Linked DNA regions of Drosophila melanogaster. The protein of the gene in region 2 interacts with the protein of the main gene of each other region in a biochemical or structural test. Each region holds a gene or a part of one and is shown on either strand. Other genes may lie near its edges. The genes, in order: Fmr1, Rm62 and MEP-1.

Region 1 (5,108 bases), 4.1 Mb from region 2:
TTCCCAAGTCAGTGGGGCGGACAGTTGCGGATGGCGTTGGTCAGTCTGTCAGTCAGCAGTTTTATTTGATTTGGCTCATTTTTTTTTTCTTTTTTATCAACTAATAGCAACAGAAACTGCTGCAGCGGCGTCTGGCGTTTAACAAATTGCGCCAAATTAGTGAGTCCGCAGTAGGGGATTCGGCGGGAAGTGGTTTGGCGGATGGCGGACGACACAAATGATGCGTGCCCAGAATCTCTAATTTCTAATTCGGATGCCAAGAAGTCGCGTCGGTGGTTGTTGCTGCTCCTGCTGCAGCTCTGATTGTATTAATCGTTGCAAATTAGTTAGAAAATACGCTCTAGTTGTTGTTGTTTGCCCTGTTCGCAGATTTGTTTGTTTAAACAAACTTACCCGTCCACATCCACAAAGATGCCATCATCGGCGACAGCTGTCACCTGGCCCTGTTGTTGTTGTTGTCGTCGTCGTCGTAGTTTTTAGTTTGCAGTTGTAGTTTTTTGTTGGCGGCAGGCAGGCAGCAAACGGATGAAATACAAGAGCATTGACAGGGCCAGCATCGGAAGGCATAGGAGTAGAGAGAGAAAAATGTGTGTCATTAATGTGGCCATTGCCTATGATATACCTCCATTCGGATGTGTGTATATGCATAAGTATATAAAATATATTTTTACGATAGTCCCCCCAATCCCGTCCCATTGTGAAATCGAGAATTGCAATGGCATTAGCGAGGGAAACCGTATATCTCCGATAAGCGAGTAGTCGTAGAACCTTATCCGAAATGCAAACAGCCGACAGCTGAATCATCAGCATCAGGGAAGTCGCTCTAGTCGAGTGTGTTTATGTGCATTGCCCTTGTTTTGATTCCAAGCACTGAAATCAAAGGCAACGCTATGCAAAGTATTCACTACCTTACTATACATATCCAGAAGGTTTCCAGAATAGGTTAGCTAATGATGGGGATAAGTACTAAGAACAATAATTGAAAGTATAAGAATATTCTTAAGTGCACTGTTATCTGGTTTCCAAAATGTCTATATTATCATTGGAAAATTTAAGCCTATAAGCATACATTTTTGCTGAATTTGTTTAAACAGTGAACAATAAAACACATCAAAAGCTAGCATTATGAATGGGATTTAAGACTGAACTTCGTTCATAAGACTAATGATTCGAGATCTAACAACCTCGTATACCTGTAATCTATCCGCGAAAATCACTTAACCGCGATATAAGATGGTTTAATCGGATCTTATCTTTATAAATTGCAACGACAAGAAAGGGAAATCATCAAAACAACAAAACCGAATGCACGACGACGTCAGTGGGCAGCGCAGTGGGCGGCGCGGTCCGCGTCGACATCGACATCGACGTCGACGTCGGCACCCCCACAACGCAGTGTGCGTGAGTGCGTTGGTGTATGCAGATTGGCGATGGTGCTGGTATTAGTGTAGTAGTGGTAGTGGTAGTGGTGGTGGTGGTGGCGATGATGTCGAGACTCCACTCAAAATGTTGCTGTTTATTAATAGAAATAAAGCTAAAATCCACGAAATTAGAAACTGAGGCAGCTGCTGCCCCAACTCCTTGCTCCTCTGTTTTTCCTTCTTTTTTTTTGTCACCCCCTTACCAACATTTTTATTCCACCAATTGAATCAACTCACCTTGTAGTAGGCGCCATTGTCGAGCCGAACTTCCACGAGGAGATCTTCCATATCGCCAGACGTAGTGCCTCCTGGTTTATCCGCTTTGTTTTGGTTCTGGTTCTGGTGGTTCTTCGCCGTCCGTCCCTGTCCCTCCTGCTGCTGATGCTGATGCTGCCCAGCCTTCAACTCCCGACTTTTCCCCGTCGACTGCAGTTTGCCGCGTTATCTGGGGCTCCTGAGGGGGAAGAATGGAGATATTAGGGCTATAGATATAGCTAGGTATGGGTGGGTATGCTCACAATTCAGTGTGCAGTGGCAGAAACCTCGCGTTCCTGCTTCTAGTTCCTTGTACTCAAATCAGTCTTTTGCTTGGCGGCTGCTGCTTCAAATGTTGCCTGTAATCAATAATAATATGGAATGGTTTTGTTTTTGGTATTTTTGAATTTTTGTATCTGGAGAGGGAGACTATATATTGACACACTAATAAAAAAAATAGTTGAAGAAAATTTTGAAGTTATTTTGGGGGCCAGATAATTCCTAGCTAAACACTAAATGCAGCTGGCGGCGAAGCCGGCAGCGACGTCGGCTTTGCCGGCAGCGCAGCAGCGCAGTGCTTCCTCTTCTTCTTTGTCTCTCTCCCTTTGTGTGTGTGAGCCCGCCGCCTCACACACACATGACCACCACCAAGCGTGTGCGCTCTCGCTCTCTTTTTCTCTCTCTCTCGCCGCCGAAATGCTTCGTTCGTTCGTTCACACCGATGAACACGCTTTTCCAATAAGAATTTGTACGCACACTACGAACGGCACATGCCGAATTTACATATCGAATTTACACATAATTTCCACACTTGCTTTCGATTTTCGCTTTTCTCAAAGAGAAGAAACATCAGCGTTGCGTAGCCGCTCGCCGTTTTTCTCGTTCTCGTTCTCTACTTTTCTTTTTGTATTTTATCGGTTTTCCTCTTTCAGCTGCTCCCTTTTGCTGCCGCTGCCGGCAGAGAGGCGGCGTCGCTGCTGTCGTCGACGTCGCAGCCGCCGACGATGTGCAAAATTTTTTGGTTTTTTTCGGTTCTTGCAAAATTTTTTCAACACTTTTTGCGGCTGTAATACACAAGAGACTGCAAATTTTTGAAAACTTACTGCTGGCCGGCACTTTTGCACTTCGTTTGCCCTCGGCGGATGCCTGTGAATGCGGCTTTAACCTTTGAAAATACAAAATATATCGCGTGCAGTGCTGCTTCAATTTTTTTCGGCTGCGCTGCGTTCTCTTCGTTTTGCTTTTGCACACTTTCGCAGCTCGGCAACGTTCTACTGGAGTTGCCACCCGTTTACAATCGGCGCGCGTTACTGGCCACTTCGGATGGTTTTGGCTAGATTTCGGGCGTGTTTGGCCCAAGCGATAAATTTGTGAAAATAAGATACGAAATTTTTGATAAATGATTTGTGCTCTATAACACAGGGCTTGTTTGAAAGCGAGAGAAAAATGATCTGACAGTAAAGTGGCAAGGCTGCTAAGTGACAGCTCACCGGGCCTTGCCAGAGTGACTATAAGTTGTGGGTTCACAATAAACAGGGTTGTATTTTAAGCGCGCTAGGCGGTTACGATTCGAAATTCAAAAAGCTGATAAGATCATTTAAAATTTAAATGAAGTCGACGAACCGAACACTATTGACTGCTCACTTAGTTTGCTGTCTGCTAACAACGTAATTGAATTGCTAGCCCATCAGCAGATTGATTCGCATGTTTGGTGGCTTTTCAATTGATTCGATTCGATTTTAATTTGCAGAACTGCTGACCACTACGCCTTAATGTTAATGTAATTGTCTATGTAATTGCAACGACTGCTGGGGTCAACAGTGGGCGCAATTTGCCACATGCGGTGTTTTATTTGCCCCTTTGATTGCCCCCAAATCGCGTGACGTCGCTGGCGCTTTTTGTCAACACGCTTGTTGAATTTGCTTTTTACTATTTTTTTTTTCTTATTTTGCCCTTCCATTCATGAAACGCATTTGATTATGAGTGGCCGATAAAGGTGCAGTGCGGTCTATTTGTAATCCAATTTCCATCAATTTTCAGCGGATCGGACAGCAGAAATCTGACGGAGTACTCCATTTAGGATGAAACCACATATTTGCTTGGAACTACTTAATAAGATTTATGAATTATATTTGTGAACTTTACTCTTGATTAATAAGTGGGCAAGTCTAAAAGCTCGCCTGTATTTAAATCGCATGCCATTTAGGCATTTGTGTGGTGAAAATGGGCCAACAAATTATAAAAATTCATGGCCAGTCAGTTAATGGGAACCATTAAATCCTTTATATGCCTGTGAATAGTTGGAAATTCTGTGTCTCTGTGCAAAGGCAATACCCTCTACTCGCCATTTTCGCATTTCCCAGCCTATTTGCAGGCAGATTCCGTTAAAATCCCATAACAATTTTCCATACAGGGTATCAAGATTCGCAATTCGATAGTCATAAATTACCGCTCGTGTTGACGGTAATTACTGTCAAGCGGCGATTTGTTGCGGAAATGCAGTTTCTGATTTGATTTTCCCGCGCCCTTGCCCACCAGTTAACCACCCCTATTTCAACCGCTTTTCCACTGCCGAGGAAAATGAGAGCAGCTGCCGTTTGACATTGACTTTTGTTCTACCTTTTGGCACATTAACTGCACTTTAATGACGTCGACATGGCCAACAAAAGAGCGAAAGTTCAGCGACGACAGCCCCTCCTCCTCTCGCATCTAGCCATCTCGCTCGCACCCCAGAATTTGTCCCGCTCAATTAGCATTATGTTCGTTTCGCGATCGGATTTGAAACGATTCGGTTCGGGTGCAATTGCAGTGCAACAATTGGTCACTTCGGGCACTAAATTAATTTAAATTCTAATTTTAACCGCGTGGAGGGATCAAGTGAAATTTATTTGCCAAAATGTGACAATCTCGATCGTGACAGGTACGTCACTTCCTCTCGACGTAAAATACACTGCGAGGAATATTCGGGCAAGTAAATTTTTCAATAATAAATAAGATAATACATTCCTTATAAAAGGTGTTCACTGCATTTGTAATTATAGTAACATAAAGAATTCGCGCATAAGTGTGAATATTAATAGAAATAAAATTCAATAAGTTTAGTCATTCTCAAATTGCTGGAGCAAATTCTGAGCAACAATACCCTTAATACGAAAGTTAAATTTATTTTTTCTTTTGTTTAATGGTTAAAAAAGATGAGATCATCCTTCTAAAAAACCAGGTAGTATCATTCCCTTGCTAATTATTTCTAAGTCCAAGTGCAAAAACAGTGTATATTTTAATACCTTTAAATAGCAGAATAAACATATCATAACTAATAACTGCCTCGTGTTAAATATGAAAAATTGGGGTAATAAAATTTCATTTATATTAATTTTATAATTTTTCCATCATTTCTTCGAACGCACTTTTTTTCCTCGGTGTACATTTTCG
Region 2 (5,111 bases):
AGTTTACTTAGTGTCAAGTATCAAGGGCCTTTTCCTTATTCATGGAAATTGAACGACTTCACGACTTGTTATTTCGCTGCCGTGAATTCAGTGGAATCTTTAAGAAAATATCCCACTTTGAGCTTTGTAACCGAATTTCGCTGAAGTTGATATAGTTTGATAGTTTTCTCACAAACTTTTTAATTTCGCGTTGTACATTTGTATAATCAATTCCTCCTTATCTGCCATCTAAAATAATTTTGCGCTGCACACACATTACCCAGAAACTGTGTGTCATAAATTTTCCCTTGATAAAAGGGACCTTCGAGAATTAAACCATGCTTAACTGGAATCATTTTTTCCGGCTCGGCGTAGACAGCTGCACTTTCTTTTCTTAAGTATTTCTTTGACAGAAAATTGAGGAAAAAAAGAAACGAGTGACTTGGCTTACTTTGCTCGCATGCTGCCGTTTCTAGACGTCTGCCAGTTGGGACTTGGATTTCAACTGCGACTTGGCTTGGAAGGTAAGTCTTCGCTTTTCGATTTCTTTCGACGCTGCTAAACAGCTGACATGGGAGTTGTGCTGTGCTACAACCGCAATAAACTTAAATAAAAACTAATTGCGTGTTAGGGAAATTAAATAAATTTCGAATAATGCAAACAGTAAGGCAAATTTGATTGACAACAACATGCAATTCGAGCAGGGTTTCTATTCACAGCCCACCCTCCCACCAATTTTTCACCCCAGTTTATCAGCCCCTAAATGCTCAACTAAACTAAACAGCCCCATGTACAAAGCCCTGCGTTTATTGCTCTGGCATTAATCAACCTGGCGCAGTTCTAGTTCCAGTCAGAACTGGCGAAGGTACCGACCTATATATGTTAGCACTTTGCAATAATTAGGGAAAAATAATATTAACTCTGCGGAGTGTATATACAATGTGGTAATAAATATAGTGCAAGATTAAGTTGGATGGTAAAGTTGTATAAAACAAAATTTACAACATAAATTATGTTTATTGTGTTACGAACTAACTTCTATAAATTTCCACTTTATATTCGCTTTACTTCGTATGTAAGCTCCATTTTCGTGATCCTAGTGGGCATCACTATGGGGTGCACCATGCAAATCACCCACGATCCAGGCCCACGTTTTTTTTTGTCTATTACTCTGTCAATTTGGAACACCGTACCGCCCTAAACGTCTATTTGTAGGACCCACTGGCACGCTAACGTTTGTGCCCAACTAGCGAAGCGGAACGCTCTGAACATTTATGAGACAGCCAAATGTCTTGCCCCTAGTTTCAACGGTGGGCAAACACCCGAGGGGAGGAGGGGACAGTCCCTGGGGGCACCTTTGACTTTCTGTGTGTCTACCTGTCGCTTTTTGACATGCGAAAAGACGAATCGCGCGCTCGCCAAAGGGGGAGCTCATAATCAATTGGCGTCATTTGACATTTTAGACTAATGGGGCCGTTTATGTGATGGCGTAGTTCACGAACTGGGTTACTATTACCATTTAATATTTGGTTGTTACTTGAGTTTTTATCAATACTATAGTATAACTTTCTAATAAATAATTTTTATTGCATAACAAGCATGGTTCATGATAAGTAAACACAAAAAGAGCGTAGCAAAATAGATAAAATGATCGATAAAATGCATTTTTGATAATCTGTAAGTTAAATGTGTTTGCATGGAACCTTTACTTATAGTGTAGAGAAAATTTTAAGAGAATAACCCTACTTTTCCCTAAAATTGTCCTCAGTATACAGAATTATACTGAAATTATATATTTCAATGTACGCATTAGATAACCAAACGAAGCAAACCATTAACCCCATTCACTTCCCAAATTAAGCATAGTAAGTATAAATCTATGTCGGGATGGTTACATCAAATTATAAAATTGCCAATACCAAAAACATCGCGATATCTCTACAAAACCTCGTGTGAGCCATGGAAAGAATGTGATGGAAAGGCATGCTGGCGAGTGAGCAGGACGGCGCTAGTCAGTGACAGCCGCCGACTGTTATACGCTCGCACACACTGTTCGAACTGTTCTACGAGCACGAGAAAATGCCGCCGTCAACAGGCATTCACGCATACAAGCAAGTCCGTATGTGCCGCTGTGTGAGTGCGCGTGTTCATGTTCGGGGCATACAGACAAATTAAAACGCTATAAAATAGCAAACGAAGCAAGAACACGTTTCACAAATCAGGCAAATTCTTTTTATGACGTGCGCTGTCGTTCTTGTTGCTTTTGCTACTCCTTTGCGGATGTGCGGGGGCAAACACAAAGAAAAAAACAACAAATGGCTGAAAACCTCACCTCCGACTGACAAAATTTAGCAAACCATGTGTTTTTCTCTCTCTCCCCAAACTCTCTCTTTCGCTCACACTAATTACTCATCACCTCGCTTCGTAGGTGTACAGAAAAAAAAAAAAAAAAAGAGGAATGGCACGAAGGGTGATAAAATGGCGACAGTGAGTGGAAAAAACCAACGCATTTCATATGAAATCTTGCGGCGTACTCACATTACTCCTTCAATTTTGATTTCCTCAGTTCTTTCGTCGGGATCGTTGAAAAGCGATTTCCTCGTCCTCGTCCGCTGCTCTGCTTTCGGGATGGAATCTACGTAGTCGTCTGAATCTGGTTTCGAGCTGTCTCGAAACGCACGCTGCGACTGAGCTTGGAGACTACTATATGTGCTTGGGAACAGTATTGTCTCACGATTCCTGCGACTCCCGTGGAACTGTTGTCGTTGTTCGGTGCAGAGCGAAGAAGAAGAAGCGAAAGTGCCGCTGCTGCTGGCGGAGGAGAAAAGAAAATGGCGACGTTGCGTTATACATTTCTCGGAGCTCGCGCCACTTCTCGGGGAAATCAATAGCAAGTTGCCCCAGCCGCAGGCAGTCGGTCGGGGCGTGGCGCCGCCCACCCGGGGGGCTATGTATTGCACAAGCTTAAGCATTTTCCCGAAGACTTAGCTTCAATGCGGTTATGCTAATGACGGATTTATCCTACGCAGCGCGGCATCCGCGCGTGTCTTACCTAACCTCGTCCAAAATTAGAGTGACCCTAGATGGAGGGGAAAAATCGGTCGAGAAGTTGGTGTGACCGCAGCGGGCTCGCATGAAAACGTCTATTAGAGTGACCACCTGGTTGCTATCGATAATCAGCTGAACGCGGTGTATTTACTTGCCCGCTAAGTTTTTAATATTTAAGATTCTGCTGAAACGAACTTTAAATATATCTCGTCGTCGGTCCGTACTCCTAATATTCGGAAATGTCTTAAATTTCCTAGCTATCGATAATCAGCTGAACGCGGTGTATTTACTTGCCCGCTAAGTTTTTAATATTTAAGATTCTGCTGAAACGAACTTTAAATGTATCTCGTCGTCGGTCCGTACTCCTAATATTCGGAAATGTCTTAAATTTCCTAGCCTACCAAAACGTAGTCTGTGCGGAGATTAGTAAATATACCTTAACAAATATAAGCATAAAACAACTTTCTGTGTTGAGCATTTAGCAAAGACTCACCCCATTTGTGGTTTATTTAACATTTTCAATTAATACAAATTTTTTGAAATCTACCAAAAGCGCAAATCTCGCATCATTTTTACTAATATTTTAAAGAATTAAAATAAGGTTGGCTCAATATTCTGAAAGGAAAAATATATCCTATTATTTATAAGAAAATATAATATTGTACAACACACAGAATTTTCATCATTAATTTCAAAATTTCATAGAACTTGCTTGTTGACCATTTCAAGTCTATAAAAAGTAATACTTATTAAAGAAATCTTATAATTTACACATAATTTTATTGCTTACATCTAAAAAATGAGTCTGAAAGAAATCGAAAATTTCACTCGAGTTTTAGCGAATTAAATTGAAAGAATCATAGTTATGATTGGAAATAGCTAAATATAGATATTATGCTGGAAAATAAAATGGCATCTATGGAGGATTAAGTAGCCACATATATTAACACCAGTAAAGAATGCACTTATTTTTCAAAATGCCAAAAATTGAAATTTACGGCACTTTAATGAAAATGAGTATCTGTAAGCTCTTACAAATTTACCAACTACCTCACTGTACTTTATTTAAATATCTTACCACGAACTATCGTATATCGTAATTGTACTGTAAAGGCCATGGTCAATCGGTTTTAAAATTCGGAGAGAACCCTCTCCAAAAGGTGGAGTTGCTGTGTGACATTTTTAACAAATCAATTGATAAAGACAAAAATAGCAGATAACACGTAGCCACCCAAACATCCAGTTCATATGTCCTTCTTCAGTACTAAAATTCCCTGCCGCACTTTTCCTTGGGAGTGTTCAAAAATACAAGAATAAATGTTACAGCCTTCTTCTAGCAAAGTTTCGAACACTGAATTTGCATTTGATTGTAGAACGTGTCAAGTGGATTTTGCTCAATTTCTTAAAGTGAAATATGAAAAACCGGTAAGTAATACGTTTCTTATTAATAATTTTATAAATAAATATATCTAATTGCATTACGAACTATTTTAGTGAAGTTAACAATAAAAACAGATTATATTCAATTTCGTTTTTATACGAAGCATGTTGCAAAGATGACTAAAGATCCCGGGTGTTCTCAGGTATGTTATAATTTTATCCTCCTTTGGGGTATGGAAATATATAAGTGTGATCACCAAGTGACCGCATTAGCAAGCAGTAAAGGCACTGCTTTATCTAGCAGTGTTATACAGGTGCATATGAGATGGCAATACTTTAAACCACGTCTATCTCTGCTAAGTTAAGCAAAATATTTCTATGACACTTGCGCATGTGGCAAGATCAAACCTTTTAGTGATCAAGAAAATTCGTATGCATGCCCACACATTTCTATCTATCTCTTAAATTTTCATAATTGAACCTAGTATACCCGGACCTGCAAGTAATGGATATGTTTAGTTAGTTTGGTGGGTGGGTCAGCCAAGAATGAATATGTATAAGGGTCTACGCATTATTTTATTAAAGTTTATTAAATATCAAATCAATGTGATTCATAACAAATATCCCAGTCTAGGTCCACGTCCACTTACAACCCGAGAAGGTGGCAGAAACTGCGGTACATCTTGGCCCTGCGGCCCTGCAAG
Region 3 (5,085 bases), on a different chromosome or scaffold from region 2:
TCATCATTAAAGACCCCGAACTCAAACCCAAACCCCAACTTTATGTTATACATACACGTGACCCTTTTCGATATCGAGTAAATTAGCCAATTCATATTTTCCAGTGCAAATTTACAAAGTTAAGCGGAAATTACTGTGGCAGTTGGGTCTTAATATCTTAGAGGTGAAGTCAATTGAATCGAAAGTAAAGATACAAGATACTAATTTAAGAGATTGATCGCATGTATCAAAAAGGACTTTACCACATTTCTTCTAATCAAGTGATTAAATTATAAGATATTAGGTATCAGAGTTTAGATAATCCTGTTGTCCGAGGACTTTCTCTAGCAGATTTCGGACTTTGATCAAGATTTAAGATCAATCTGTATTGGGATTGAATATCAAACCCAACTAAGAACTCACAATTGAAATGGAAAAATGTAACATTAGATACATTAAAAAAAAGAAGAAAATAACATAAAATTTCACCACAAATATTCGGTTTTGAGTCACTAATATTTTTCCAAGTAGTATGATTCACGTAAAGTACATTACGTGATAATAATAAATATAATTAGTATGCTAATAATTTACTTAAAACGTGTAACACTTATTTAAAAAACATAAATTTGGAAAAGCTTTAGGAAAAAATCATGTTGTAGGAATCTAAGGGATCTTTAAAGAATTCTATAATTATTTTTACGATCGACGTGTCAAAACCATGATCTAATCTCAATGATTCATTTCTAAATAACAATAAATCAGCAATACATGCATATGTTTAATGCAAAAACTCAAATATATACTATATCATATCAACTTGAGTATACAGTTTAGTTCTTTGGTGAAAAATCTACAATCTATGATGACAGCGTCATTGCGAGTTGGATTTTAACACATACATATGGAAACCCCATTATTAAACTCATAAATTCACATGGCAACAAAGAAATACAAAGCATAGTTAACAATCATTTGCTGTTTTTGACCTGAATTTCTCACCTTAATCATTCGCTGCAGGTTAACTTGGTTGGTTCAACTTATAGCCAGATAACTAAGGTGTGATCTTCAATCCTCGGCAGTCTCGTCCTCCTCGTCCTCGTTGAAGGACAGCTTACTACTGGCGGCCTTGGACTTCTTGCTCTTGGATGTGCTGGATTTTTCGGACTTCTTGTTGGTTTCAGATTGGGACTCTTTTTTCTCGATGTTGGGCTGCTTGACACAGTGTTTGAAGACTATTGGCTGCGTCAGATCCGCTCGCTTTTCGGCTAATTCTGGAAGATTGAAAATGGGAGTTAGTTATGGGTCAGCAATCATCTGTACTTATTATGATCGTAGTAAAGCGTGTAAGTAAACACCTATTTACAAGTTAAATGGAGTATTTAAGTTATATAAACTATCTTAGAATGAAAAATATTTTGGGGAAAGTAGTATGCACAAATTTAGGGAGAAAAATGCCAATACATATATCAAAGCTGATATAAATAAAATAAATTTAAAAATTGCATTAACTAAAAGGAATACAAGAAAGTTTTTGAAAATTGATCTGCTTATAAAATTGCCAGGAAGGTGACTAATATGCCAGCAATTCATTATTGGATTGGAAAATGTATCTGGGTTTTAAAAACTGCAGCATGACAAATGGGGAGGAGGGAGGTGTAAATCAGAACAAGCCACCCACCGACCCCCCCCTTTTCCAAGCAGCACCCACAAGATGTTTTTCTCGGCCCTGGGAAGCCCCTTCTCGCCCGACGCTCCCGCTTCACTCCCCCTCCCGCTCCACCCACTGATTCGCAACCCGCCCCCGCTGTTCCGCCAGCCCCTTCTTCAACGCCTACCCCCTCCCCGCAGCGCCTTTGCCACCGCCACCACGTCGTCAAGCCACTTTGGCCCGCTCTTTTCCTCTTTGCTCGCCTGCTTCGTTCATCATTGTCTCTCCGCTTTGCCCGCCTCCTTCATCCGTTCGTTCTTGCACACGTTGTTTTCACCCGATTTTCTGCGCTCTTCCAAGTGGGGCTGAAAGGGGCAGGGGGGCGAGCGGAAGAGGCGGACAAAGCGAGCGGCGGCAGCTGCTGTTGTTAACTTCTTTGCCGGCTGCTTTATCGCCGCGCCCGCTTTGCCAACGATTTTCATCACATGCTCTGCTTTGGCGGAGCCCCCAATGAAAATGTCAGTGTGTATGCCTCGTCGGCTAGCTGCTGCGGGTGTGTGTGTCTGTGTGAGGGGTGCTCCGCTGGGCAAAAAAGGGAATCTTTAGGACGGAAATGACCAAGATTGCCATGGCAACATAGGGCTTTAAAAAGATTGAAAAACCGAAGGTGCTTTTCGAAAAAAAAAACACATACTTCTTGCAACAAACTGCTGTTTTCGCACTACCGTTAGATTTTCATTTGGCAAAAATGCACAAGCACACGCGCGCACTCATACATAAGCAACGGTATATACGCAGTTATGTATATATACATATATGATTTAGATATATGTAACGCCGGGCAGAAGAAGACAACCGCTCGATTCTGACTGAAAAGTTAAACTGAAAGACAAACTACAACATCCTACCTACGCACACACGTGCAACTGCCGCCGCCGCCACCGTGGGCTATATGCATGTGTGTGTGCGTGTGCGAGCGTGTAAGTATGTATGTACTACAGCGATATGTATGTATGTATGCTTGTACATATGTACCGACCTTTGGAGGCCAACAGTTTCTCCGTTTTGGCCTCTTCGGCGGATAGATCTCCCGGCCTAAGGACGACCACCTGCGGCTGTTCGTCCTCCCGTGAATCTTCCTCAGAATCGTAGTCCTCCTGGTCCTGCGGATCCAATCGCTGACGCTAACCAATGGTTATATATCCGCATTAGAATGCTGCAGAGGCCTTCCCCGTAGAACTCACCTTGGTCTCTACGGTGGGTCCCTCCTTGTAGCCAATTTCAGCCTTCAACTTGGCCAGAAAACTAGGTTCTTGCGGCTTTACGTACGTTATGTTGCGCTTGGACATATCAGATATGGCGGCTATATCATTGCACTTCTTGACCGATTTAGCAGCGGTTTTTGCACTTTTTATTTACCACAAATGTCGATAAGAAAAACATATGCTTATCGAGCAGTGTGGGAAAGCGCGCGTTGACAATACTAAATCGATTTCAACTGCTATACTTTAAAGTAACGTAAGACAATTGTAAATCCAGTTTTAATAGTTATAATGTTAAAGTTTAAGCTTGCTCTTTTAATATTATTAGTCCCAATTTTTGAGTCCTTGATATTTATCGATAGCACCGATAAGTAACAGCTGTACTGCCGTGTGCATAGTGCTGCCTGAAAACCAATTGTAGATGGGCAGCACTGTTAGGCAAAAGCGGTTACTTTTTGAAAATGCTTACTGTTGATAAAGAGTTAATATTTCTTAAAAATTTCTATAAATATATAATATTTATCCTATTATTTTTGATGCATTTCTTTAAGTATCTTAAGTTCCCATTTCCAACTGGCATTTCCGCTGAGAAAACCGATTGCCCCGAGACGTGCCATCAATTTGCGAATCCTCGCTGCCAATCAAAAAATGGGCGCATAAAACTGTCGCATAACTTGCAAATTTTCCGCTTCACCTGGAATTCCGTGCTCCAAAACAGAAATTTGATCGCTTCTGACAGCAAAACAATACACAGCGGCATTCATCAACGTCAGTGGCTTCCATTTGCAATGTCGTATGCACAGACTCCTCCTCGATTGAAGCCCCCTATTCGTTCCTGGGAACATAATAAATCATCTGCAAATTGATTTCAAAACTTCGACAGCTAACCAAAAAAGAGCTGCCGAAAAAAAAAGGCAAATGAAAACTGCAGCAAAGCGGAGAAATTTTATGAGCTGCAGCATATGTTGGCAAAAACACAAATAGGATGCACTGAGAAAACAGCGTTTCATATATTTAGTTTAGTTATAAATAAAATACGTGAGAGGAGCTAAACAAAAGTTTTTTTTTTTTGGTTTTTTTTTTGCATAAACCCAAACAAATATCTGTAGACTGACAGATAGAGAAGAATTAAATTAGTGTCATATCCAGTGAAAAATATGACAATAAAACATAAATTTATATTTCAAATATATTCCTTTTGTTTTTCCGTGAACGAATTCCCCATGAAAAACTCCGATTTCTGCATTCTGGCACGCGGCAGCAGCTTTTCCCCCGAAGGATTTTCGTCGGTCCCCGAACTAATATCAAATTGATAGCTTTTAAATTTGATTTCGCGTCTTATCACCGACCGCTTAAGCGAACAGTTTCGGAGCTGCAGCCCCCAATCGCTACGCAATCCACAGCGATGGTTGGAAAAACAAATGGAGTGTGGCCGGGTGGAGGGAGCACCCCCTCATGCATTAAAAATGAGGATGGCAGGGCATTTGATGCTGTGCAAGTGCAACGTGGCGTATGCTTGTTGTGTTTTGTTTTGCTCGCTTTGCGTCCGCATTGAAAATACATTGAAAATGCCGGTGCAACACAAGTGTTTCGGCCTTGATACGGATACGATGCTATATGCTGGATATAGAGTCATCCATCCGACCGTCCCATTCAGAATCCATAGGCTTCAAGTCACATGCCGGCCAACTAATATCGAGCACTCTTGAGAACGCAGAGCCTCAGGAAAATGTTATCACAGTCTGCATCCGGCACGGAGTCCTCCGCCTCTGCCGAAGTGCAACTCGGCGATTCGGTTCAAATTCCGCTTTACAGTCTCTGCTCCTCGGCGCTCAGATGCTAGTCGGCATTTGGCGCGTGCAGTTCAGTTCAGTTCACTCGGTCGAAAATTGCCCGGACTCGTTTAATAGCGGAATATCGTTCTAAAATTAAACATTTCGCGGAGGCACTGAGAGAAAACTATCGCTCGAATCGCTAGTAATTCGGTAATTTTGCTTAGCAAAGCGAGGACCAGAAATAGGAAGAAAATATTTGTTAAAATAAAAAAAATAGTTGTCTAATGCCCAAAACAATAGTGTTGGAAAACAAATGAACAAATTTGTAAAATCCAAGATAGTATTGAAGAAAAAAAGAATTTTTTAAATATTCCCTTTGGAATTAGATAGGAAATAGATTGGATTACTAAAAATTATA

The links.
Region 1: the proteins of Rm62 (region 2) and Fmr1 form a complex in vitro, tested with the Drosophila melanogaster proteins (one study listed by BioGRID).
Region 3: the proteins of Rm62 (region 2) and MEP-1 form a complex in vitro, tested with the Drosophila melanogaster proteins (one study listed by BioGRID).

The regions. Positions count from the first base shown.
Region 1 is NT_033777.3:10,107,037-10,112,144, forward strand, and holds the start of Fmr1 (fragile X messenger ribonucleoprotein 1), read right to left. Parts: upstream 3,086-5,108; 5' UTR 2,780-3,085; intron 2,573-2,779; exon of another isoform or gene 2,488-2,572; intron 2,188-2,487; exon of another isoform or gene 2,036-2,187; 5' UTR 1,940-2,035; intron 1,876-1,939; 5' UTR 1,854-1,875; coding exon 1,659-1,853; intron 1,307-1,658; exon of another isoform or gene 1,194-1,306; intron 444-1,193; coding exon 394-443; intron 1-393. UniProt on the Drosophila melanogaster protein: Polyribosome-associated RNA-binding protein that plays a role in neuronal development and synaptic plasticity through the regulation of protein synthesis of mRNAs.
Region 2 is NT_033777.3:6,005,520-6,010,630, forward strand, and holds the start of Rm62 (Rm62), read right to left. Parts: upstream 3,055-5,111; 5' UTR 2,952-3,054; coding exon 2,518-2,951; intron 2,210-2,517; exon of another isoform or gene 1,927-2,209; intron 596-1,926; exon of another isoform or gene 442-595; coding exon of another isoform or gene 431-441; intron 1-430. Other genes in the region: CG10280 (uncharacterized protein), read right to left, coding at 5,054-5,111. UniProt on the Drosophila melanogaster protein: As an RNA helicase, unwinds RNA and alters RNA structures through ATP binding and hydrolysis. Involved in multiple cellular processes, including pre-mRNA splicing, alternative splicing, rRNA processing and miRNA processing, as well as transcription regulation.
Region 3 is NT_037436.4:2,629,706-2,634,790, reverse strand, and holds the start of MEP-1 (MEP-1), read right to left. Parts: upstream 3,077-5,085; 5' UTR 2,980-3,076; coding exon of another isoform or gene 2,875-2,979; exon of another isoform or gene 2,815-2,874; coding exon of another isoform or gene 2,670-2,814; intron 2,517-2,669; exon of another isoform or gene 2,325-2,516; intron 1,254-2,324; coding exon of another isoform or gene 1,048-1,253; 5' UTR 982-1,047; intron 1-981. Other genes in the region: CG42245 (uncharacterized protein), read right to left, coding at 1,048-1,253, 2,670-2,814, 2,875-2,979.